2 linked regions of the Drosophila melanogaster genome follow. The protein of the gene in region 1 interacts with the protein of each later gene in a biochemical or structural test. Each region holds a gene or a part of one and is shown in the gene's direction. Other genes may lie near its edges. The genes, in order: Acf and Iswi.

Region 1 (7,708 bases):
CCACGCCGCGTAATCTCAGATTGCTTCAGGGGTAATGGCTCACCGGCGGCAATGCGAATCTGCCATTCAACCAAATCGGTGCCCGTAATCATTTCCGTTATAGGATGCTCCACCTGCAGGCGGGTATTCATTTCCATGAAGTGGAAAGAGAGATCTTCTTTGTCTAGAATGAACTCCACGGTGCCAGCTCCTACGTAGCCCACAGCTTTCGCTGCACGAACAGCAGCCTCGCCCAGCTCACGACGCAAATCTTCCGACAAACCTGGCTGTTGTATAAATGAGCATTATTTTTAAAATAGCCGAAGCTCTTGTGCACTTACAGCTGGCGCCTCTTCAATAATCTTTTGATGACGTCTTTGCACGGAGCAATCTCTTTCCCACAGATAGACAGCATCACCATACTGATCCGCAAATACTTGAACCTCTACGTGGCGTGGAGATCGGACGTACCGCTCCAGAAGCACAGAGCTGTCGCCAAACGACTTCTCGGACTCGGTGCGAGCTGAGTTCAGAGCGGTGAGGAAGTCGTCCGGTTTTTCTGCGATTCTCATGCCTTTGCCTCCGCCGCCGCGGACGGCTTTAATCATCAAGGGAAAGCCAATTTTGTCGGCTTCTCGCTGCAAACACTCATCTGACTGATCATCGCCATGGTATCCATTGATGATCGGCACCCCAGCAGCGGCCATTATGGCCTTGCTGGTGCTCTTAATCCCCATGTCCCGGATGGCGGAACTGGGCGGACCCATGAAGATGATGCCCTCACGCTGGCACAACTCGGCAAACTCGACGGACTCGGAGAGGAAGCCGTAGCCTGGGTGGATGGCCTGGGCGCCCGAACGCTTGGCTATGTCCAGGATGCGTTCACCGCGAAGATAGGAAGCCGAGGAGGCAGCTTCCCCCACGCGGTACGACTCGTCTGCCAACTGCGTGTGCATGCTCTTCTCGTCCGGATCCGAGAACACGGCCACGGTACGAACTCCCAGCTTGCGTGCGGTTCGAATCACCCTGCATGCGATCTCACCACGATTTGAAATAAGGATCTTGCTGATAGGCCGAACTTTTGGGCTGGCTTCTGTTGCAAAGCACCTGCGTCAAGCCAAAACAAATTAGCAAGGTTTATGTAATCGTCAAGAACGAAATTAAGTCTTTTGATTTAGCGGCCTTAACAAAGAACTGCCGATCATTTCCCTCACCTGGCGTTTGCGCCGAAGTTTCGCAGCAGTCTGGCGTACATTATTAGTAGAATTAATTGTAAGAATAAATAACAAATATACTTTATTCAGAGCAAGTGTGCGATCGTCGCTTATCACAGCTGGAAAAACGCACACGCACAAGATCGCAATTGAGATGGGCGACTCACGAGATGCATGGTTGAAAATATTAATGTTTCATATATCTTTTGGGGATTATCATATATCATCAATATCTTTTAGGGAAATTGATATTACGTATATTGTGTTTTTTTTAAGTTGCAACCCATAAAAAATATTACCGTTATATTATTCTGGACTATTTATCGAACTGTTGACATCCATCCGACCGCGTCCTTACGGTTTTCTGCGCTCGTGAAGTTCGGTAACATTGTTCGCAGAAACTCGATAACCGATAGTTTAACGTCGAAGAGCGATAGGCCCCAAAATATGCGCGTGAAAATAGATTGTGCGCTATAAAATAAACGGATTTAGGTAGTTGGTGTTGAGGAAGCCAGCCACAAACATAGTAGAAATTGTCGGAAAAGTGTCGCCCGCCGACAGCTTGTATAATTGCGTCGGAAGTCAACGCGCGTATCGCTGGAAAACCGTTTGCATCGAAAGCCCCTCCGGAAAGGCGTGAAAAGTTGGGCGCCTTTTGCGCTTGTCGCTTGGCGTTGTAAAATTTATCAGTTGCTCCGCGGTTGTTTTTATTGTGAACTGTTAAACGTGCACTTCGAAGGACTGCCATTTAAACTTAAGGACATTCAAGAGCAAAAGGAAAACACCAAACATGCCCATTTGCAAGCGGGAAGGATTCGACCTGAATCAGAAGGAGGGCAAGAACGAAACATTCCACGACAACGACCAGGTCTTCTGCTGCTACATCACTAAGCGCATTTTTCGCGACTATGAGTAAGTGCATCCTGCTACCATTCCTGCAACTGCCCCTTCCCTTCTCCTGCCATTAGGTGGACGCTGCGCTAAAGTATACAACAAAAGCGACGCTGCAAAAGCATTTGCACACGATGTACCGTACATCACCATTCAGTGTGTGTGTGTGTGTGTTCGCAGGGGTGCATAAGTGTGCGAGTCTCGTGGGCCAAAGGCGAAAAAAACGCTGTTCGGTGGCGGGAAGAAATTACAGCTGCCGCCGCACAGCTGCTCGCCGCGGAGTTGCCACCTGGTGCCAAAGCGCGCGCTCTTGAATTTGGAATTTGTTGACCCAATTCGACTTATATGATCCTTCTAGATATTTTTAAGATCAGCAATTATTTAAGAGGCTGGGTAGCGCGAAACTATTTTAATAAATAGCAAACATACTAAATATGTTTTACTCTGACAAGCTTCAATTATATCAAAATAAATTGACCTTAAAACGCTGATCGATTAAATTTATTTATCCAGACACTACTTCCGGCACGTGATGGTGATCAACTCAACGGTGTGGCAGTGCGAGGCCACCGGCAAGGAGAACCTCACCTACGAGGAGGCGGTCAAAAGTGAGCGGGCGGCTCGCAAGAAGATGGAGCAGTTCAAACAGAGCCTTCGGGCACCCGTCCTTCTGGTTGTGGAGCACGCCCAACAGTCGGCGGTCAACACCTTGAACATGATAGTGGCCAAGTTTCTGCGCAAGCGCTACTTTATCGGCGAGGAGGTGTCGGTGCAAGCTAAGAAGAACGCCACGTACACGGTGTTGGGTGTCAAGTTGGACAAAAATATGCCGGAACCACTCAATGGTATCTATGAGGACACGGACAACCTGGTCTACAGACTACGACCAAACAAGGGCGATCCCAGTGCAGAGCTTGATCTGCCCTTTAGGCAATTACGTCGCTCGCGCATGGAGTTTAACCTGGAAAACCTGAGTATGTTTATAAAGAGCAATGTATCGCGGGTGGATGGACTTCTTCGACCCAAGCCAGAGGCATACAAGCAGTACGTGACGGACCCTGGCGTAAACTTCTCCACAATTTTCATTGGCAAAATGCCACGTTATTCTCCCGCTAAGATTAAAAAACCTGACGGCAAGAAGCAATCCACTCTCAACAAATATATTGTCGCCGGTGAAGCAACGGCTGCAAAGTCAAAGGCGAAGGCCAAGTCTGATGCTAAATCTCTGGCAGAGGAATTGGAGCGGGTTAAGCGAGAAAAAGAGGCCAAGCTTATTGAGTTGGAAAAACAAAAGGCGGAAAAGAAGGCACAGTTGATTGAACGCGTTGAAAACGAATGTAATTTACTGCTTCAAAAGACGGACGACCTGGAGAGAACCGACCAAAAAGTCCTGCCCCGCTACAGACAGATCGTCACATTGCTGCCTGAGCACCTCCTGGGTGATGCCTTCATGATGCGCGAGTTTATGCACACTTACACAGGATTGCTGTCCGGCATCGAGGTGTTCCGTCAGAACCTCAGTTTCTACGAGATGACACGTGCACTGACTGCTCGTGAGATTGCGGGCCCACTATCGGACATCCTCCTCGTTCTGCTTGGCACTGTTTTCGATCTGCAAAAAGAAGAGGAGGAGGAATGCGCAGTGACCTACCTCGATCGGGCTGCACAAACTCAGGAGCCCTATTGGAGTATGGCGCAGGCCGCCAAAAGTCACCTTTACGCCAAGAGGCACTTTTCCTTTAAGGTCAATACTTTGTTTGTGCCGACGTGTGTTATCTAAACTAATTTTATTTTCCCAATAGGTAAATGAACTACCATTAGATGCACTGACTCTCAGTGAAGTGCTACGACTGCATCTACTTGGATCCGGAGCTTTTGTAAATGAAAAGGCGGAGCGCTGGAGAGTCATGTACCGGAATGGCTACTCGTCAAAAGAAGACCCTGGTCTGGAACTACGTCTGGAACACTCGCACATCCTGCGCATTCTCAAAAATCATTCCGTATATCAGCTAAAGTTTAAGGATATAATGCTCCTGATTCGCTGCCTGATGTCCCAAATTATGACATACTCGGGCACGATTAACTTGATTGAGGAGCGTATGGAGCAAACAGCAAAGGCCAGGCAAGATCTACGAGCTCTAGTTGTCGGGGAAAATAAGAGATTAGCCGCCGTAGAGATAAACAGGAAAAAACTCACGCAAATGCACCACCTGGAGGTAAATGGCGTTGAGCCTGAAAAGAGGGAAGCGTTGGTCGAGAAATTAAAGAAGAGTATTGCCGAGCTACACGCCCAATCGGATCAGCAACATCGCAAGCACGAGTTGCAGATGCTTAAGTTGCATTCGCAGCTTTTCAATTTTTTGGTTTACTTGGGCATGGATAGGTGCTACAGGAAATATTACGTTTTGGAGTCTATGCCTGGGATCTTTGTCGAGCATTCGCCGGACAGCCTTGACACTTGTTTGGAGCAACCAATAACAAATAAGTCCCAAATAGAAATTCGTCAGCAGTCTGCATTGCCAAAGAATCGCAAGGACCTAAGGGTATATCTACTCAAACTCTACGGAGACGACGAAAAGAAAACTAAGAAAAAGGCCAAGCACTCTCTAGAGAACAAGGAGAACCAAGAGCATCGCCTTAACGGCAGTGCAGAACCCATGGATGTCGAATCTGATTCTCCAGAGGCTCCCACTCATTTTGAGCTCTTGATGTGCAGTGGTGACAAACGATCTTGTATTGTGCATGATTCAAGAAATGGGCAACGGCAGCGTTGGGCATATATTTACAAAGCCGAGGAGATCGATGAATTAATTAAGGCTCTCAATCCCAATGGTCTCCGTGAATATGAACTCCTTCAAGAGCTATCCGTTCTGCGTTCCTTAATCGAACAGCATGCTAAGACCTGCCCAGTAGACTTGCTAAGTCTAGAAAACGAAACAATGCGCAAGAAGTTTATGGCGGCGATGGAATCTGAAACTAACCGTAAATACGGAGAAGCAAACTTTGGGTTACCGAATGGGACCGATCTAAACGAAGTGATGCGCTTGCATTTAGTGGATCGAATTATTCAATTTGAAAATGATATTTACACTGGTGATCTCGGCCGCCTGAAAGTTAAGGATATGGAAAAGTGGCGAAGTGACTTGCTTGGAGGCAATTACGACGCTCAGTGCAAGTTGCAGTGGGGCCCGGGTGGCAAGTTGGAAGATGAAGCTGGTTCTGACAACGAATCCCACGAAACTCACGAGGAGGACGATGGCGCACTATTAGGTAAATATGCCAGGAAACCATATCGCGATCCTGGCATGTATTTGGCAGCTTCTGCAGACACAAAACCCCTACCAGACAGCGACGATGAGGAGGATCAGCATACGAATGCCGTCTCGATTCCTATCGCCGTGCATAACATGGCCTCGGCCCTTCTGCAAGTGGAGCAGGCTATTGGAAAACGGTTTCTGAAGGAACCCTACGGCATGAAGAAGTGGGACCCCAAGCAGGAGGCTTTAAAACTTGCCTGCGACTCGCGTTTGCACCAGTGGGAAGTTTCGCTAATGGAAAGTACAAGCTTTGCTCAAGTCTTTCTGCACCTAAACATCTTGCACGACTGTATTCAGTGGAGGCGTTCCACCAATAAGTCATTATGCAAGGTCTGCAGGCGTGGCAGCGATCCGGAGAAGATGCTGCTGTGCGATGAATGCAACGCTGGCACTCACATGTTCTGCCTGAAGCCTAAGCTGAGGTCTGTACCCCCGGGCAACTGGTATTGCAATGATTGCGTAAAGAGTCTGGGTCTCAGCAATGGTCAAAACGAAAAGGATAAAAAGCAGGCGACAAAGAAGAAACGCAAGTTTATCGTAGAAGAGGAGGATGATGAAGCTACAGACGAAGAAGAGGAAGAGAAAAAGGATGACGATATGACCGATGAGGATGCGGAGCACGAGAACGAAAAACACGATGAGGACGTTGAGGACGACGAAAGTGTGACCTCTACCCCCTCATCTTCCAGAGTCAATGGGCGAATTTTAAGGCGACCCCGCACACGGCCAACAAGCAGAAGACTTACTTCGAAAGAGATCGAAGAACATGCTCAGGAAGACGTTGACAGCGGAGACGTCAGCGATGACGCATCCTTAACCGCCGGTGAAGATACGATCGAAGACGAGTCGTAAGTTAAAAACTGGATTGAAAATTAAATTTAGATAATGAACCCATTGCAATCCACAGAGATGAGGAAAAGGTGTGTCAGAAGTGTTTCTACGATGGCGGTGAAATCAAATGTGTGCAATGCAGGCTATTCTTTCACCTGGAATGTGTTCACCTCAAGCGACCGCCTCGCACAGATTTCGTTTGTAAAACCTGCAAGCCGATGCCACAACGACCTAGGCGCCGGCACAGTAACAGTAAGTCCACAAATTTCTCCTTAATGAATAGCTCACTAATAGCCCGTGTGATTTCTGTCCAACAAGTGAATGGTGATCATGACCGCGATGAGGAGGAGCCAAAAGCAAAGCGACCACGTAACTCTTTGCGCCTATCTATCGACAAGACCGCCCGCCCAAGCAACGGCAACAACAACAACAATAATAACAACAGCAGCGTCAATAACAACAACCATCGCAGAAGCGGGCGTCGGACGAACGAGCACATGCCGTTGAACAGTGCCGCCTTGTACGATCTGCTTGAGCAGATCATGAAGCACAAGGCCGCTTGGCCGTTTCTGCGACCAGTGCTGACATCGGAGGTTCCCGACTACCATCAGATCATCAAAACGCCCATGGATCTAGCTAAAATCAAATCCAAGCTAAACATGGGCGCCTACCAGCTAAACGAGGAGCTGCTCAGCGACATTCAGTTGGTGTTTAGAAACTGCGATTTGTACAACGTAGAAGGCAACGAAATATACGAGTGAGTAGATTGGGATAATCCGTAAGTGGTCTTGTTGTTTATCCTTTATCTTGAATCCGTTGCAGCGCTGGTTGTCAACTAGAACGATTCGTGATCGATCGATGTAGGGACATGCAGCTACCGTTTAGGCCTAGCGATATGAACGGGGAAGTCAAAGCTTGCTGAGCCGGACGCTGATCTCCACCAGCTATCGTGTAAATTAGTTAGTCTACTCTAAGCCGTAGTTGAAAACCATATATATTTAAGCACAAATATTAAGTGTATTTAAAGATCTTTATTTTCGTGCATGTCAGTTCTAAGTTCAGCACACGCATATGCAAAAAATCCTTATCTGTTGGTTTATGAGACTTTATGTATTTATAAATTATTGTAGACACTACGAAAATTCCACAATCAATAAATGAAGTGACCGGAAACAAACGATTCAAAATAAATAAGTAAAAAAAATTGTTTTGTTGGAGGTGTAAAAAGCTAAAATTAAATGAATACAAATTTTAAAAGAGCTTAGCTCTGTATAAACGCAGGAAAAATGGGTAGATGGAGTTTGCCAGTTTTTAAAACAGACGATTTGATCGCAAAAAAAAAAATATTGCTTAAAGAACCTAATTTGCCAAATTCTTTCTTAATCGAGAAAAAAGTGTTGGATGCTGCATTGTTATTATTACTTTTTATGAAATCTAAGCTATGTGTGTTTCACTGGACATTAAAAGTAAGAGTGA
Region 2 (16,102 bases), on another chromosome or scaffold:
CTGGAAACCGGTTTGCAGCGTCAGTTTCTTGTCGCCGGGTGCGGAGAGTACAGCGCCGGCCAGCAAATAGTATATGGAGATGAATGCCCGCTGGGTGTGCTGCTTCGGTGCATTGCCTCCGGATCGTTCAAGTTGTTTGGACACCTCTGCGCGGACGGCTTCCAACAGATTGGCCGTGCTATCTGATGGGTATTTACTCCTAAATTCAGCCAAAAATCCATTGAACTCCGGCAACTGGATCTCCAGTGTGCAGTTAAGGGCCTCCAGTTGAAAACTTGCCACCTGGCTGTCCTCCAGCTGCCGAAATCTCAGAGTAGTGCCCAAACCCACTACGGCGGCGAGGGCGGGACGATGATAGACCACGGCGTGTTCGCCATGGAGTATGACCTTGCCCGGAGAATGGACCTGGAACTTGAGCATTGTTCTTGATGATCTCCGTGTATTGTGTGTTCTGTATTCCGTTTGGCTATGGCTTTATCGGTTTATCAGCTGTTTCGAATTGTAATGCTAATGCCTTTCGAGTGGACGACCTGCGACAAGTAGTTAAACTTTTATGGCTGTATTTCTTTATGTAACTTATGCATTTAGTGGATCATTTGCGTTGTTTATTCGGTAACTCCTATTTCTGGCTGCCGATTCCTGTGCTTTCCCTTTCACTTTCTTTGTGCGACTGGCGTTTTTCGGCTTGTTCGTCTCTTCGATCGGAAAGCGCAACCATCAGCAAAACGAACAACAGGTTTTTGCGGCTAGTGTTTGCTGTTGTTGTATCGCTCGTGTATATGTATGTGTGTTGTTGGTTTTTTTTTATTCGGTACTACTATTGGGCTTTCACTTTCTCCCACTCTTCGGGTGTGTAGGATTTCTGGGAGAATGCATGGATTTCTTTCAGTTCTTCGGCAAGCGTTGAGTTAACTAATCTATGCTTCTGGAGAAGGGTCTTGCCGCTGAAGGCTGGCGATACGATTACGGCGCTGAACTTGCCGCCACAGCCGTCTGATTCGTCCGTAACACTCACGTACTCCGTCTGCAGTTCCCGTTTGAGCTTCTCCTCGAGGTACTTTGAGTCGTATTTACTCATTTTGGATGGTTTTTTTTTCAAACGAAACGAGGTGATGGAGTGGTTGTGTGACCGTATTGGGCTTCAGGCAAAAACAGGTTTTCCATAAGCCGGGTGGTAGTTTTTCTATCTGCGCTGACCTTGGCCACACCTAGCACCATTTTAAATGTTCTTTTTCGGGGGGTTTCTTGCGATATATCTATTAAATACTTTAATATGGGGGTTGTCTAAGTAATTTAACAGATTTTGTCTTTGTTCATATAGTTTGGGGCAGCCATTCAAGTCTAAAACGATGTAGTACATATTGTCATATTTAGATTCAGTTTCCACCACAGGGCTTATTTCTAAAATATTATGAGACCCCATTAGACTTTTCGATTCCTGCTATATTCCATCATCTCAAACTTAAACATTAGGCAATAATTTTTAAACAAACGCAAACAATTTAAAAAGATAACCTATTTGATTAATCAGAATAACGGCTTTGTCTAAAACTAATAATAACGGCACACGGCCAGTGCTGCCATTCATAGTAATCCATCAAAACTATCGATAGTTCGTATTCTCGATTTGTTTGCCGCCACCGTCGCTGCCGCAGCCAACTTCGCGCATTCATCGCATAATCTAGCGATAGCACGCGCAGATTTCCCACCATTCATTAAAAAAAATCGCATGTAATTATTTACAATTTGTTTAAGCGAAACAAACATTGTTTTGTGTAAATTGCCTTTTATTTATATACTGAAAGTATAACTAACAGGTTGCACACTCGATTTTCAGTTCACATTAAACGACACCAGTGTGCAGCACGCTTGATTGGCGAGGGGAAATTTGTGGAAAAATTAAGTTCATTTAGAGACAGACGCCGGCATTGCAAATATGTCCAAAACAGATACAGCTGCCGTGGAGGCAACCGAAGAGAACTCGGTAAGTTAATATACAGCAGGCTTTGTCTAAGGACTTCTATACATATATTCTGAACTCTGCCAGAACGAGACGACTTCAGATGCGGCCACCAGTTCATCCGGTGAAAAGGAGGCTGAGTTCGACAACAAAATCGAGGCTGATCGCAGTAGGCGCTTTGATTTCCTGCTAAAGCAGACGGAGATATTCACCCACTTCATGACTAACAGCGCTAAGAGTCCCACGAAGCCTAAGGGTAGACCCAAGAAGATCAAAGACAAGGACAAGGAAAAGGATGTGGCCGAGTGAGTTAAACTCCCCCTATAAAAAAGCCAACTACTTTATCTATTGGTGTACTTTTGTATTAAACAGTCATCGTCATCGCAAGACAGAGCAGGAGGAGGATGAGGAGTTGCTGGCGGAAGACTCGGCCACCAAGGAGATCTTTCGCTTCGATGCCTCACCCGCCTACATCAAAAGTGGAGAGATGCGTGACTACCAGATTCGCGGTCTTAACTGGATGATTTCGCTTTACGAAAATGGTATCAATGGAATTCTGGCCGATGAAATGGGTCTAGGAAAGACCCTGCAGACCATATCTCTGCTGGGTTACCTCAAGCATTTCAAGTGAGTTTTCATAAACATCTATTGTTTTAAAGAAATCTCTAAATACCATATTTGCGTGCAGAAATCAAGCTGGACCACACATCGTCATCGTGCCAAAGTCAACGCTTCAGAATTGGGTAAATGAGTTTAAAAAGTGGTGTCCTTCCCTCAGAGCCGTCTGCCTTATTGGTGACCAGGACACCCGTAACACCTTCATTAGAGATGTGCTCATGCCTGGCGAGTGGGACGTTTGCGTGACCTCCTATGAGATGTGTATCCGCGAGAAGTCTGTATTCAAGAAGTTCAACTGGCGCTATTTGGTCATCGACGAGGCGCATCGTATCAAGAACGAGAAGTCGAAGCTGTCGGAGATTCTGCGAGAGTTTAAGACCGCTAATCGTCTACTTATCACGGGTACTCCGCTGCAGAATAACCTCCACGAGCTGTGGGCCCTGCTTAATTTCCTGCTGCCCGATGTGTTTAATTCGTCAGAGGATTTTGACGAATGGTTCAACACGAACACCTGCCTGGGTGACGATGCATTGATTACGCGTTTGCATGCCGTGCTGAAACCTTTCCTGCTCCGTCGTCTAAAGGCCGAAGTGGAGAAGCGTCTGAAGCCGAAGAAGGAGATGAAAATATTTGTGGGTCTATCCAAGATGCAACGCGACTGGTACACCAAGGTGCTGCTTAAGGACATTGATGTAGTGAACGGTGCTGGCAAAGTGGAGAAGATGCGACTGCAGAACATCCTTATGCAGCTCCGCAAGTGCACCAACCACCCATATTTGTTTGATGGCGCCGAGCCCGGTCCGCCATACACCACGGACACGCATTTGGTGTATAACTCCGGAAAGATGGCTATTCTGGACAAGCTGCTGCCCAAGCTCCAAGAGCAGGGATCGCGTGTGTTGATTTTCTCACAAATGACGAGGATGTTGGATATCCTCGAGGACTACTGTCACTGGCGCAACTACAACTATTGCCGCCTGGATGGTCAGACGCCGCACGAAGATCGTAACAGGCAGATTCAGGAATTTAACATGGACAACAGCGCCAAGTTTCTCTTCATGTTGTCCACCCGAGCCGGTGGTTTGGGTATCAATTTGGCTACCGCTGATGTTGTCATCATTTACGACTCGGATTGGAATCCTCAAATGGATTTGCAAGCTATGGATCGTGCTCATCGTATTGGTCAAAAGAAGCAAGTGCGCGTTTTCCGGCTGATCACCGAAAGTACAGTGGAGGAGAAGATCGTGGAGAGAGCAGAGGTCAAGCTCCGTCTGGACAAGATGGTCATCCAGGGGGGCAGATTGGTTGACAACCGCTCCAATCAGTTGAACAAGGATGAAATGCTTAATATAATCCGTTTTGGAGCTAACCAAGTGTTCAGCTCTAAGGAGACAGACATTACCGATGAGGACATCGATGTTATTTTGGAGCGCGGTGAGGCCAAGACGGCCGAGCAAAAGGCAGCACTGGACAGTCTGGGCGAGAGTTCGCTGCGGACGTTCACAATGGACACAAACGGCGAGGCAGGAACTTCTTCCGTATATCAATTCGAGGGTGAGGATTGGCGCGAGAAGCAAAAGCTAAATGCGCTGGGCAACTGGATCGAGCCACCGAAGCGTGAACGCAAAGCCAACTATGCTGTGGATGCCTATTTCCGCGAGGCTCTCCGTGTCTCCGAACCCAAGGCACCGAAGGCTCCCCGCCCACCCAAGCAGCCTATCGTTCAGGACTTTCAGTTCTTCCCACCCCGTCTGTTTGAGCTGCTCGACCAGGAAATCTACTATTTCCGCAAGACTGTTGGTTACAAGGTGCCCAAGAACACGGAACTAGGATCGGATGCCACCAAAGTGCAGCGCGAGGAGCAGCGCAAGATCGATGAGGCAGAGCCGCTTACCGAGGAAGAGATCCAGGAGAAGGAGAATCTACTCTCACAGGGTTTCACTGCCTGGACCAAGCGCGATTTCAACCAGTTCATCAAGGCTAACGAAAAGTACGGTCGGGATGATATTGACAACATTGCCAAGGACGTGGAGGGCAAGACTCCGGAGGAGGTTATCGAGTACAACGCCGTGTTTTGGGAGCGATGCACTGAGTTGCAGGATATTGAGCGAATAATGGGACAGATTGAGCGTGGAGAGGGCAAGATTCAACGGCGATTGTCTATTAAGAAGGCTTTGGATCAAAAGGTAGTTAGCATTGTTTCTGTAGAGTATCTTTAATATATATGAATATATTTTTGTTGTAGATGTCGCGGTATCGCGCCCCCTTCCATCAGTTGCGGCTGCAATATGGTAATAACAAGGGCAAGAATTACACTGAAATAGAGGATCGCTTTCTGGTATGCATGCTTCACAAGTTGGGCTTTGACAAGGAGAATGTCTACGAAGAGCTGCGAGCGGCTATAAGGTGAGCAAAAACTTGGTTTTAAATATGAGTAAACCCCTTATACATTTCCGTTCTCTTACAGAGCTTCTCCGCAATTCCGCTTTGACTGGTTCATCAAATCTAGAACCGCTTTGGAGCTACAGCGTCGCTGCAACACGTTGATTACCCTTATTGAACGTGAAAACATTGAGCTGGAAGAGAAAGAACGCGCCGAGAAAAAGAAAAAGGCACCAAAGGGCAGCGTGTCCGCTGGAAGTGGAAGTGCCAGCTCGAACACTCCAGCACCCGCGCCCCAACCGAAGGCCAGTCAAAAGCGGAAGAGCGAGGTGGTGGCAACCAGTTCCAACTCGAAAAAGAAGAAGAAGTAAAGCGACAAAGCAAACAGATATTTTTCTGAGATTCGGCTCTACACTCAGCACTAGGCAGTTAAATAGTTAAGACAAGCGATTACTTAAACATATTTTACTCTATATAGTTAATAGTTCATATCTCACGCCGGAAGCAATATCACACCAACCCCACCCCCAAAATCTGAAGTTTTTTTAAACACCCGCCTACACATCCGACTACATTACTATTGCGTGCCGCTGTATTCTATTCCAAATAATTGTATTGTGTTCTAAGACTATAATCATTATATTTATATAAATCAACACAGCATACAGATTGTTTCACTTTATATTCAGAGGTGGATTCCCCGTAAGTAAAAGGCGACATATTGAATGTTTTGGTACTGTTCGCTTTATGTTTTGGAATGCTGAGCAACTTAACGTAATAACATATATAAATTCTATGAATTGCTGCTTAGTTTGTGTAACAGGGCACTTAAACTTAATATCATCTTGTTCATGCAGTCAACGGCATCGGCAATTTGGCATCCGAGCCGCTTGACCATGTTCAACATGGCCATAAGTTGGGTCTGATGTGAATGTGGGCTTCGCCTGCTTTTTGAACTCATACTTGTCTTTCATCGCGCTTCCATTGTTGGAGCTACCTGCATCTAGTGTAATACTACGTCTCTGTTTGAAGGTTGAACCCATACATATCGAATCCTTAGTCGTCGTCGCTATACATTTCGATGATCTCGTTGATGCTGGCGACGGCACCAGCAACCAGGGCAAGAATGGAGAACACGCCCAGGAAGATGTTCTTGACCAGCTTCCACTTGCACACGCCCAGGCGGTCGGGCCACAGATAGACGGTCTCCACGAAACTGGGCACAAAGATGCCCAGCAGCGAGAAGAACACGGCACCCACCAGACTGATGAAGGGTTCCAGGTTGGGGATAGCAGCAGCTACACCACCGCTAAGCAGGATAATGCCGCTGCGCAGCAGAATCTGTGTAATATTGTGCTTCTCGGGACTGAACTTGTGACTGATCTTGCGCCAGAGGATCTCGTTGGGCACATAGAACTGCAGGCCAAAGGTGAACAGGATGGCCACGGCCATCAGGAGCTTGGCCGTATCGCCCAGCCAGGCGCCTTCCGGCAGATTCAGCGTGATGCTGCCTCGCACCTGGTCGCCAAATCGCACATATCCAAAGAATCCGATGATGGCATAGAGCGAGACCACAGTGACCATAGCAATGTTAAGCACGCCGGGGCATCCCAAGAAATGCTGGGGCTTCCTCATCGAGTTTTCCACGGGCATCACAACACCGATGCCCTCCATCGCAAAGATCACGGTGGCGAAAAAGAGTGGAATATGGGCAGCCTTGGCGATCAGTGGCTTGTCGGAGTAAACCAGCGGCTCGTCGAACATGTAATACAGCGTGATCGCGAATGTGACCACAATGAAGATGTTGGCCATCATGGAGAATGGCACCAGCCACTTCAGGTCACGGATCTGACCGATAAGCAGACAGGGGATCACGGTTAGGGCAATGTAAATACGCACATCCCAGTTGATCTTCAAATCATAGTTAATGACATCGTGGAAGGATGTCGCAATAAATACGATATATACACATGCCGCAGCATAGTAGGTGGCCATCAGTCCGATATCCACAAATTGCCTGGAGATTTTTAAATAGATTAGCATTAGGGATCATCTCCTGTAAGCTTTACTCACTTGGCGAAATTCGAGTAGGGTCGCATTCCCTTGGGTCCGTACTCGAAGACCTTCTCAGCTGTCTCAGCAAATCCCAGAGCCGAAACCTTGGCATCCCTGCAAATGTCATGCGAAGTTTTAACCTGCAAGAATGAATAAAAAATGTTGGAACGTCGTTAGTTAATAGGATTCATTAAAGCATTGAAAAAGGTGATTTATAATATAGACAGCAATTTATTGAACTCTAAGCTTCTACTCCATTAATCAAATAGAAATTTATTGCAGTTTAAACAAATAGGCTAAGGTTATCACTAAGTTTTAAGTCTAAATAAATAATACTACTTCAAAATTAAGATATAGTATTAATCTTAGAGACTTGACTTCCACTTTAGAGATAATCTAAAGCTTATGAGGATGCAGTTTATTATTCCCTAAGCGGAAAGCGATTATAAAGTATTACGTCATCATATGTTAATTGTAAATCAAATGAAGTTGAAGTGAGGAAGTAGCCGGCTTATCAAATTAAGAACATTTTTAACTAGGAATATATATCAAAAAATAGTAAATCTAAATGATCGCAGCTAAGCACTTGAGAAGTTCCAAAATGACTGTCAAAATCCAAATGCCATAAATCTGCTAACTCGAGTGGCTAAATTATAGAGTACGCTAGCATTTTTTATTTATAACCAATGGATGATCGGTGACTTGGACTTTCCGAGAAACATTTGCTTGATTTACGCAATGTTTTGGCACGCGATCCCTGATGTCTGGAAATTTGGAGTGCAGCTAATTCTGGGAAATTACGTTTTTAGGGATTCGCGAGGATCGGAAATGGAAGTCGTAAAGCTACAACAATCGCACATTGTATCTTCGGCGATAAGAACAAGTGGGACTGGACTTGGTTTTTGAGACACGTGCAACGATTGGACTGGCCGTTGCAGTACGCTTATCTGGGCACTAGGTACGATTGATTCATTGGCTCCATTGATTGGGCACCTTGAACTACTTAAGACTCAGGGAACTACATACGTCAGCCGTGGATTATGCGGCTCACCTGGTCTGGCTGCTGTCTGTCGTAAATTGCTTGAGTCAACAACGAAAATCAGGTGCTAAATTTGTGGCCACTTAGCTTACCAATATATGCACGCAATGGGTGCAGAGGAATCCAACGATCAGCGTCATGGCCATTCCAAAGGCCAGACCGGCATTGTGGAATGCCATGGGCATGGCCAGAATGCCCGTGCCCAAGGAACTCTTGAGCAAGTGCGCCAAAGCGCCGCCGGCACTGGCTCCATTGGGATCGCGGTGCTCGAAGGGATGGTAGGGATCATCCGTGAGGGAAAGCTCTTTTTCCGTCAAGTTGGCTCTGCGAAAAAAAAAGGTGAGAAAGTATTAACTATGCATTCTATCAAACATATATCTATATTTATATTTTTTCCAGAAATGTATTAAATTCACATCCATTTCTATGGTGTTAAATAATTTTATATTCATTTACTGTGAAAGAATTTGAAAACTTTATTAATTTTATGTCCTGTTTTCCTTTTTACATATTTCCTTCATTATACCTTATTTAAAAGGACAATGATAAGCTTGTTATAAAATTGTTATCTGAATTAAACTTAAGAGTCTCGAACAATAAACATAAAATCAAAAATTACTTATTTAAATTTACTATATAGAACGGGAATAATGTTGTTTTATCATCTATTAAGTTATCCATTAATGATATTTGTTAAATGAAAGGAGGACCATTTGTACGTTTTAGGGACTTTCAAATGTAAGTAAAGTTTAAAAAAAAATAACTTAATATGGGTCAAATTCAATCAAATGCGAACATAAAGCTGGGCGTACTCACTTCGAGTTGAAGTCATTAATTGCGTTGGTGTATGGAGGCGGGTTCTCGACTGTTGGCGCCGATGGCAGGGATTCCTGTCCATCGGGGGTAAATCCCTTGTTATCTGCCATCTGGAAGCGTAAATAATCGTGGATCGATTGGTGTTTAATGAAATTAGCACACTTGATTGATCGGCCCCACACGAACGGGCTTTATCGGCGAAAGGAAGCACGAGATTCGCTTGCGTTGGCCATTTAAGGCTTGGGTTGATCCGTTCAAGGGTTGCTAGGCACAAGCCAGGCGTATCTTATCGTCTCTTGGAAACATTCGAGTATTAGAATTGCCTTAGCAAAGAGATTTCTGGCACTGGCCGATCGTTATCGCAACTGGCTAAGAATGGAGCTGGGAGTGGGGTCGAGCAAATAAACAACAATGGCACTTCGTTCATAAAATGCAGCTTTATGGTGCCCTAAAAGCGCTTGTAATTCGGCCATATAATCGGACCCTAAATCAGCGTCCATATAGTAGTCACCACCTATTTTTCCTATTGAGCTGATTCATTCCTTTGGGAAATACTTGACGTTCTTTCGCGGCAGCTGATCCACTTCGAGCGTATTCTTTGAACCTAGATTAGCTTAATCTTCGATTTATTTGTATTTATGGCGCGCACCGTCTTCTTTAAAATTTATGAAACTTTTATTGTAGCACTATGAAAATACTAATGGTATTGAAGGCCACAAATTGGTTGACAATGGAATGTTTAACAACCAATAAACGAGGGGTCACATGCTTGAATTCTTAGCTAATCAAATTTGGTTAAAATTGAACTACTTAGTCTTAATCAAATGAATTAATTCATCCGTAATTAAATAAGATACTACTGTGATTACTATCTCCATTCGAATGGCATTCTTAACTTCGATCGATCATAAAGTCTTAGAGGAATGGAAAATTTTCCAAATTGTGCCAGTATCATTGTTTTCGATTTTTCCCGCAAAGTTAATGAAGTTTAACTTCAAGTTGGTAGAAATTATACAGAACAACACATCGTACTTAGTCATGCATTTTTGACGAAACGTTTAAATTAGTGTACAATATTTATAATTAAACAACAGGTTCTCTTTGCTTGAAAAACTCGTAATCCCTTGATTGGTTTCAAAGACGCGATAAGTATATACGTAACATCACGTTTCCGGCTACTTACATTTCAGCTAGGATATTCGGATCGAAAAAGTTATTCGGAGCAAAGGAGGACCGAACTCGTCCTCTGGCCAAAAGCAACTGAACGATCGGTTGGCCAGGCCAATGGGAAAGGTTTCTGGGCTCGGGGGCTACGGCGCCGAAAAGTGTCGGTAAGCGTCGAAATAATAATAATGTCCAGATATGATAACGACTTAAAGCAAGACAGGCTACAACAATCAATAAACAACAAATGCCCGCAGCATGCCACATTCACAGCCAATAGAAATAAATAAAAAAAAACCTGAAGCTGCCTTTAAAATCAATTATCAACTGATAACCACCTTATCGCGACCGAACCAAGCCGAAAAGAACCGAACCCATCGGGAATCCGAGAGACTAGAACTCAATCCAGTTAACTGATTTGCTGACCACGAGGGAATTGGAACTGAAATCAAGAGTGCTCTGCCTATCAATGATGTACTAGTTCATTGATTTAAGGCAGCTCGTTTCAAATGATAGTAATTAGCTATTATGCGAATCTATATCTATAGACCCTTGATGGCTAATTACGATCTAGGAAATCAAATAATTACGTTTAATGACCACTAATCGTGAAGGAACGCGTTATTATTATCAATATTATCTGTGTACCGATAAGATTAGCGGTCAGTAATACTTAGTATACCATAGCTTTAATTCTTATATAAAGAGAGCAACCCGTTGATTTGCGACTTGGAAGGCCCTAAATATCTTTTGATCGGACATTATTTGTTGTTTACCCAATACGATTGCCTTTTATGTGGGGCGCACAAATCGATAAATCGAAACGCTAAATCTTTATGATCGACTTCTAATTGGGTTCCAGTTACTGGGGGGCCCCATTTCATATCATCATATCAATCATATCGGGACATTCGGACATTGATTATTTTTCCTAGTCGATCCCAAAACTGTCGCCATATTCGCTTTATGGCCAATTACATTAATTAGTTACGCCATTTGAACTATAATTTAATAAAGGATCGCATCAAGTGCGTCATCGCAGTTCGTATGTATGTATTTAGTCTTCGATTTGGGTGTTAATTGGCCATTAAGAAAGATTTGGTGCCCTGGCACAGCAACTAACTTCTTGGGTTTTGGGGGTTTTCTCCTAATGAGCGAAACGGAACACGAAAGATTTGGATGCAAATGTTTACACAAACAATTATATTGAGATTTATACAATCTTAATTGAAAAATACTACGTCAAACGATAAAAGCCATGTGCGGTAGGTGCGGCTTTTCGGATGTTGACCTGAATTCGTTGGAGAATTTTCAAAAAAAGATGCTGTTTTGATCGAGCAGATTGCCCTGTGTATTATTCCTTCTCAGCAAGGTTTATGGCTTACAAAACACGACCTTTATCTCCGGTTTTGCCTTATCGAAGCTGTATACTCCAGTATTAACTGCATTATACCCTGACCTGCTTCCATAAGCAAACGGCCTTCCCATCTGTTGCATAAACCGCAAAAAACTGCGTACACCTGAAATGGGTGGGTATTTCGTGGCTATAGGAATTTCTCCCTGCCAATTCTCGAGCACCGCCTTAAGTACCTTTAATTGGATGCCGACTTTTTGAATGGCATTTCGAGTGGGATCTCTTTTGGGTCAATGCATTCCATTAAAGCCAAGACAGCCTTTTTGTTGCCGTTTTGTTACCAGTTTTCAGTTTTGTTTTGCTTCGTCTTTGTTTCGCTTTTTTGCTGCTTTTGTTTTGCTTGTGCGTTCGCTTCACGTGCCGCAAGAAGAGGCAGTGAGCAAAAGCGTTGACCGTCCTGACAGACTGTCAATATCATTCATTAGGCCCCAAAAACACTGAGAGAAATATCTGTAGCCCATTTTATAATAAATTTGAAGCTTATTGAATTATCACAGATCAGTTTAATTACTAAAGGAAGTAACAGTTAAGCAACAATTGCAAAGTAGTTTGCATTTTTTTGTAATGTTTTTTCAAGTTTTCTAAAACTAATTTCGAATATAAGATCATTAACTTTTAAACAGTTTCTTAAGTTAAAGTTATCCTAATTGGATCCTAATTTATTATCTGTTTATATAAATGTTTCCTAAATTTGCGTAACTTAAAAGATACAACTTCAACTTCACAAATTTCTTTCAGTACCCGGGGGAGTTGCGAGCTGGGAAAGGAGCCCAGTGTCAGGCGATCTCGCGTTGTAAGGTGGATTGGCTGGAAACTGCCTCCCACGACCTTATCGCACCCACTTTCGATATGCAAAACGTATGAGCCTGAGTGGCATAATTGATGGGACAGCTCGACAGCTTTGTAGTGCTGAACTTGCAGCTATCTATCTGATTATTCAACTTTCGGGCATTAACCATATTATATATTAACGATGATGTGATAATGTGCGGACTTGAAATGACAACTGTTTGGGCGGGTTGTCAAAAGGTGTTTTTTTTTTTGTTTATTTTTATTTCGAGAATCTGAATTAAACGCCCGGTTTATTGTACCGTGAGTAGTGGAACTGTAAGGTAGCCGTCAAGATAAAACTGAGCCAATAATCTTTTATGACATCCAATTTGACGCTTATCACCGCAACAAAAAAATAGGGGGCACAATGATTTTTCCCACTCACAATGGGCCAATTGAAACTAAATGGGGGTTCTCCGATCGAAGATTTCTAAGTTAAAGCCACTTCCTTTTATTGTCACATGCATCCGATAAATATGCCTGATAACTCATTTGATGTGCGGGCATTAATTATAAATAATTGGGGCACATTAACACGAAAAGCGCCGTGTAAACAAACAAATCATTTGCCCAAAGCACAATAATATTACCTTTTGGACCGATTTAGTTCGCTGCGAACTTTGATGCGAAATTATAGAGAAATTATATTAATTGCCCGATCCAATCGTTTCTCCTCGACATTGACGCCGAAAAAGTGAGTTTTTCACACAGTCGCGTTAATGACGGATGTGCTCGGCGGTGCGATTATAAGGCCAGAATTTGCAGTAGCAATCAACACTGTTTAACCATTTGCTTGTTTAATTATTTAATTTTTAACACCTGCTCGGGTGTTGCAAGGATTTACGAAATTCGCGCGCGCTCTCTTCGTTTTTGATTTTAATCCCTGATCGCTGACGATTTGTTGTTAACTGTCGGACGATCGCTTAGTGACTGATATTAAGCCAATGTTTGTGCTTTAATTTGTTGCTCCGGTGGCGTCGCCAGAGCGGCTATAAACCCGGCCAGACACACACAGAGATATTGTGCGTTTGTGTGTTCCCACATCCCAGCGAAGCTCGGAGACGAAGGCGTTTTGGCTTTGGTTCGTGCAATTAGCGCAATGGACAATAAACGTTACCGTGACGCAGGTGGGGCGAAGTCGGCCTCTCTCTCAAAAAGGTTAACAAATACATATATATGCGCTGTGGGTATGGGTGCTTTCTACAGATCACACAGCATTGGGCATCCGACGGCCAGACAAGTCTGCCTCGCTCCATTACTCATACGCCGTGTGGCCGCGGAGGAGGTGGAGGAGGATCGGTGTATTCGACGGATGAGGATAACTGGGTGCCCAGAGTGCAAGCGCAATATATTATGTTGTTAGGAGCGGGATTCTTATCTGCTGTATGTGGGTGCTACTTTGTCGAATTGGATTTGTTTGGCTTACGAACACATACTGCTTATCTGATTCCATTCCATTTCGGGAAAATTCCCAAGTCCCCGTCCAGAGTTTAGGCATACTTTTGGGGGCGATCGCCTCTACGCTGATTACTCTTAATTGTTAAGGAAATCGAATCACCCTGTATTCTTCACAGATAACGATATCTATCAATCAACTGCAGCAGCTAAGCTGCACAAAAAAGCTTAATGGAATATATGCTTTATAATGAAGTTCAGAACACAAGAACAATTGCACTTAAAGATCAATCTTTTGAAACTAAGAACTTTTACAAGTTCTGAGAAAGGAACTAGTGGTATTATTATTTTGTAATTAGCCAACAAAAGCCAATTATAGGAATTTAAGTGACTATTATTAGAATTATATCAAAAGTAATAACTTAATAATTTTATAAGTGTAATAAAGTTATAAGTCCCCGATAGGCAGCTCAAGAATGCGCGACACCATGCAGCTCTTTTTGAGCTCCATAGCCAATACCCCCCATTTTACAGTTGGCCCCCTCCTAACAATCACTTAGTGCTGCCTTGGAGGCTTTTCTTTTAGACGGAGCTTAGCGATTGACTTGTTTCAAGTAGCCAGCTCCCCTTGTTAGCTGGTTTTGTTGTCTAACCATAAAATATGAAAAAACGATCGGTTTTGTTTGCTTAGTTAGTTTGCGGCGTCAGTGGGACAGTGGAAAATTTTAAGCGGCACGGCAAATGCTGTAGACAAAATGCATTTTTCACGTGATGTGCATTCCGAATTCGACGAGTTCAAACAGAGTTGAGCCAAATCGATTGTGAGTTTGTCGCTGATTTATGGGGGCACTAAATCTGGAGGCAGTTTAGGGCCAATGGCGTAATTAAGTATTGGTTAGACAAGCGAGTTCGGGAATTGCGATTATATCTCAGGAGTTTATTGGATATAGTTGTGCCGGGCTGTGGATATTGTAAACGGCGTATCTTTAATTGCAGAACACCAATTGATAAAGTATGATGTACGAGCCGTGTTGTATTGTTTAACAAGGTTTTCTATTGACGCAAGACAACTGCACGTTGCGTATACGACATGTGGAAGCCTTGGAAGGCTGATGGACTGATAAGCTAAAAGGTTCTGCGATGAACGAGACCTGAAACCCTTTTGAAGCAGGTCAAGTACTTAGTCTATAGCCGCTGCAATATTGACACTACGATTCCTTATCGATGTGGAATTCGGAAAACATTTACTACCGCAGCTGTCTCTGTATTGACAATCTTCGTTGAGCCTGATAAAGTTGTACCGCCTTAATGGAGAACTATCGATTCTGAATGTGTCCTCTTAAGTGCTTAAGAAATTACCGGCTACCGGGGGGTGGGATTTCCCACTCATCTGATATACATTTTGGCCATTTTGCAGCCTTAAAACTGCGTGTCATCAATCTAATTAATTTTCAAGCGGCAGCTCAAGCACGAATTCAAATACCTGGAAAAAGTTAAATCAGAAAAATCCCCCTCGCTTGAAAAGATACTTAAGGCCTCTTGTCACCGGATTCCGCTTCCACTTCCCTGCCTCATTACAATGCGCATCGTATTGTACTGGCATTCATATATCTGACCAACTGATCGAGCTTGAGCAAATGGAAATTTAACGTACTCCCGTCGAGAAATTCACGCCCAAACCACATTGTGTGTGTGTGTGCTGATTATCGTTCATAATAACGAGTCAAAACAATAAATAATTGATTTGCTTCCGCAATTGTCTTCCGGATCTGCCTTCTCGTCATGTCTTGGGGTCAACTCGGTACGAAATGGACGCATCGAGCACTGAGTAATTAATTAATTGACTAATTAATATGCACACTGCGCAGCTTGCCGGTTGAGATTTTGGATTTAGATTCCTACATTTCGGATATACACAGCTTCTGCCAACGAAACTGACCTTGCCCGATGTCAAACACCCGCGACGCATTTTTATTTAACGGCCACAGGCGCGAAATTCGATCATGAATGGAGGTGAGATGGTGACGCAATTTAGATTCGCAACCAAAATCTGGGCTAGTGGGGGTGCGCGCTCCCAGTCATCCGCGTGACAACTTCCTTGACTAACCGGTTAAATCTTAAACGGCGGCTCCACAAAGTGAATTTATTTAGCGCCTGTTTTGTGTCTTGTTGCTCCAGGTGACAGAACCCAGTTGTTTGGGCAGGCCCCAAAAACACAATAAGTGTGGCGGGGCACGCCCTGTAATACAAATATTTGCAGCATGCAAATTACCTGTTTTACAAATGACAAACGAAGGCACACTCATCTGGTAATAAAAACTGCCACTTGTAGGTTGATTTGCCATGCAATCACACTCAGCTCGCATGACAATAGAAAGTTTCTAACTCTGGGATTCTCAAGAAATTCCGATTTCCGCATAGTTCGACG

Evidence for each region.
Region 2: the proteins of Acf (region 1) and Iswi form a complex in vitro, tested with the Drosophila melanogaster proteins (3 studies listed by BioGRID).

The regions. Positions count from the first base shown.
Region 1 is NT_033777.3:31,792,385-31,800,092, forward strand, and holds Acf (ATP-dependent chromatin assembly factor large subunit), read left to right. Parts: upstream 1-1,596; 5' UTR 1,597-1,983; coding exon 1,984-2,105; intron 2,106-2,597; coding exon 2,598-3,828; intron 3,829-3,886; coding exon 3,887-6,249; intron 6,250-6,308; coding exon 6,309-6,484; intron 6,485-6,550; coding exon 6,551-6,989; intron 6,990-7,054; coding exon 7,055-7,154; 3' UTR 7,155-7,415; downstream 7,416-7,708. Other genes in the region: Mccc1 (Methylcrotonoyl-CoA carboxylase 1), read right to left, coding at 1-266, 321-1,086, 1,194-1,234.
Region 2 is NT_033778.4:12,635,007-12,651,108, forward strand, and holds Iswi (imitation SWI), read left to right. Parts: upstream 1-1,664; 5' UTR 1,665-1,775; exon of another isoform or gene 1,776-1,837; 5' UTR 1,838-1,936; coding exon 1,937-1,984; intron 1,985-2,047; coding exon 2,048-2,265; intron 2,266-2,332; coding exon 2,333-2,587; intron 2,588-2,648; coding exon 2,649-4,764; intron 4,765-4,823; coding exon 4,824-4,984; intron 4,985-5,045; coding exon 5,046-5,331; 3' UTR 5,332-5,622; downstream 5,623-16,102. Other genes in the region: Mvk (mevalonate kinase), read right to left, coding at 1-420; CG33672 (uncharacterized protein), read right to left, coding at 818-1,078; CG8785 (uncharacterized protein), read right to left, coding at 6,017-6,977, 7,034-7,155, 8,147-8,378, 8,871-8,980.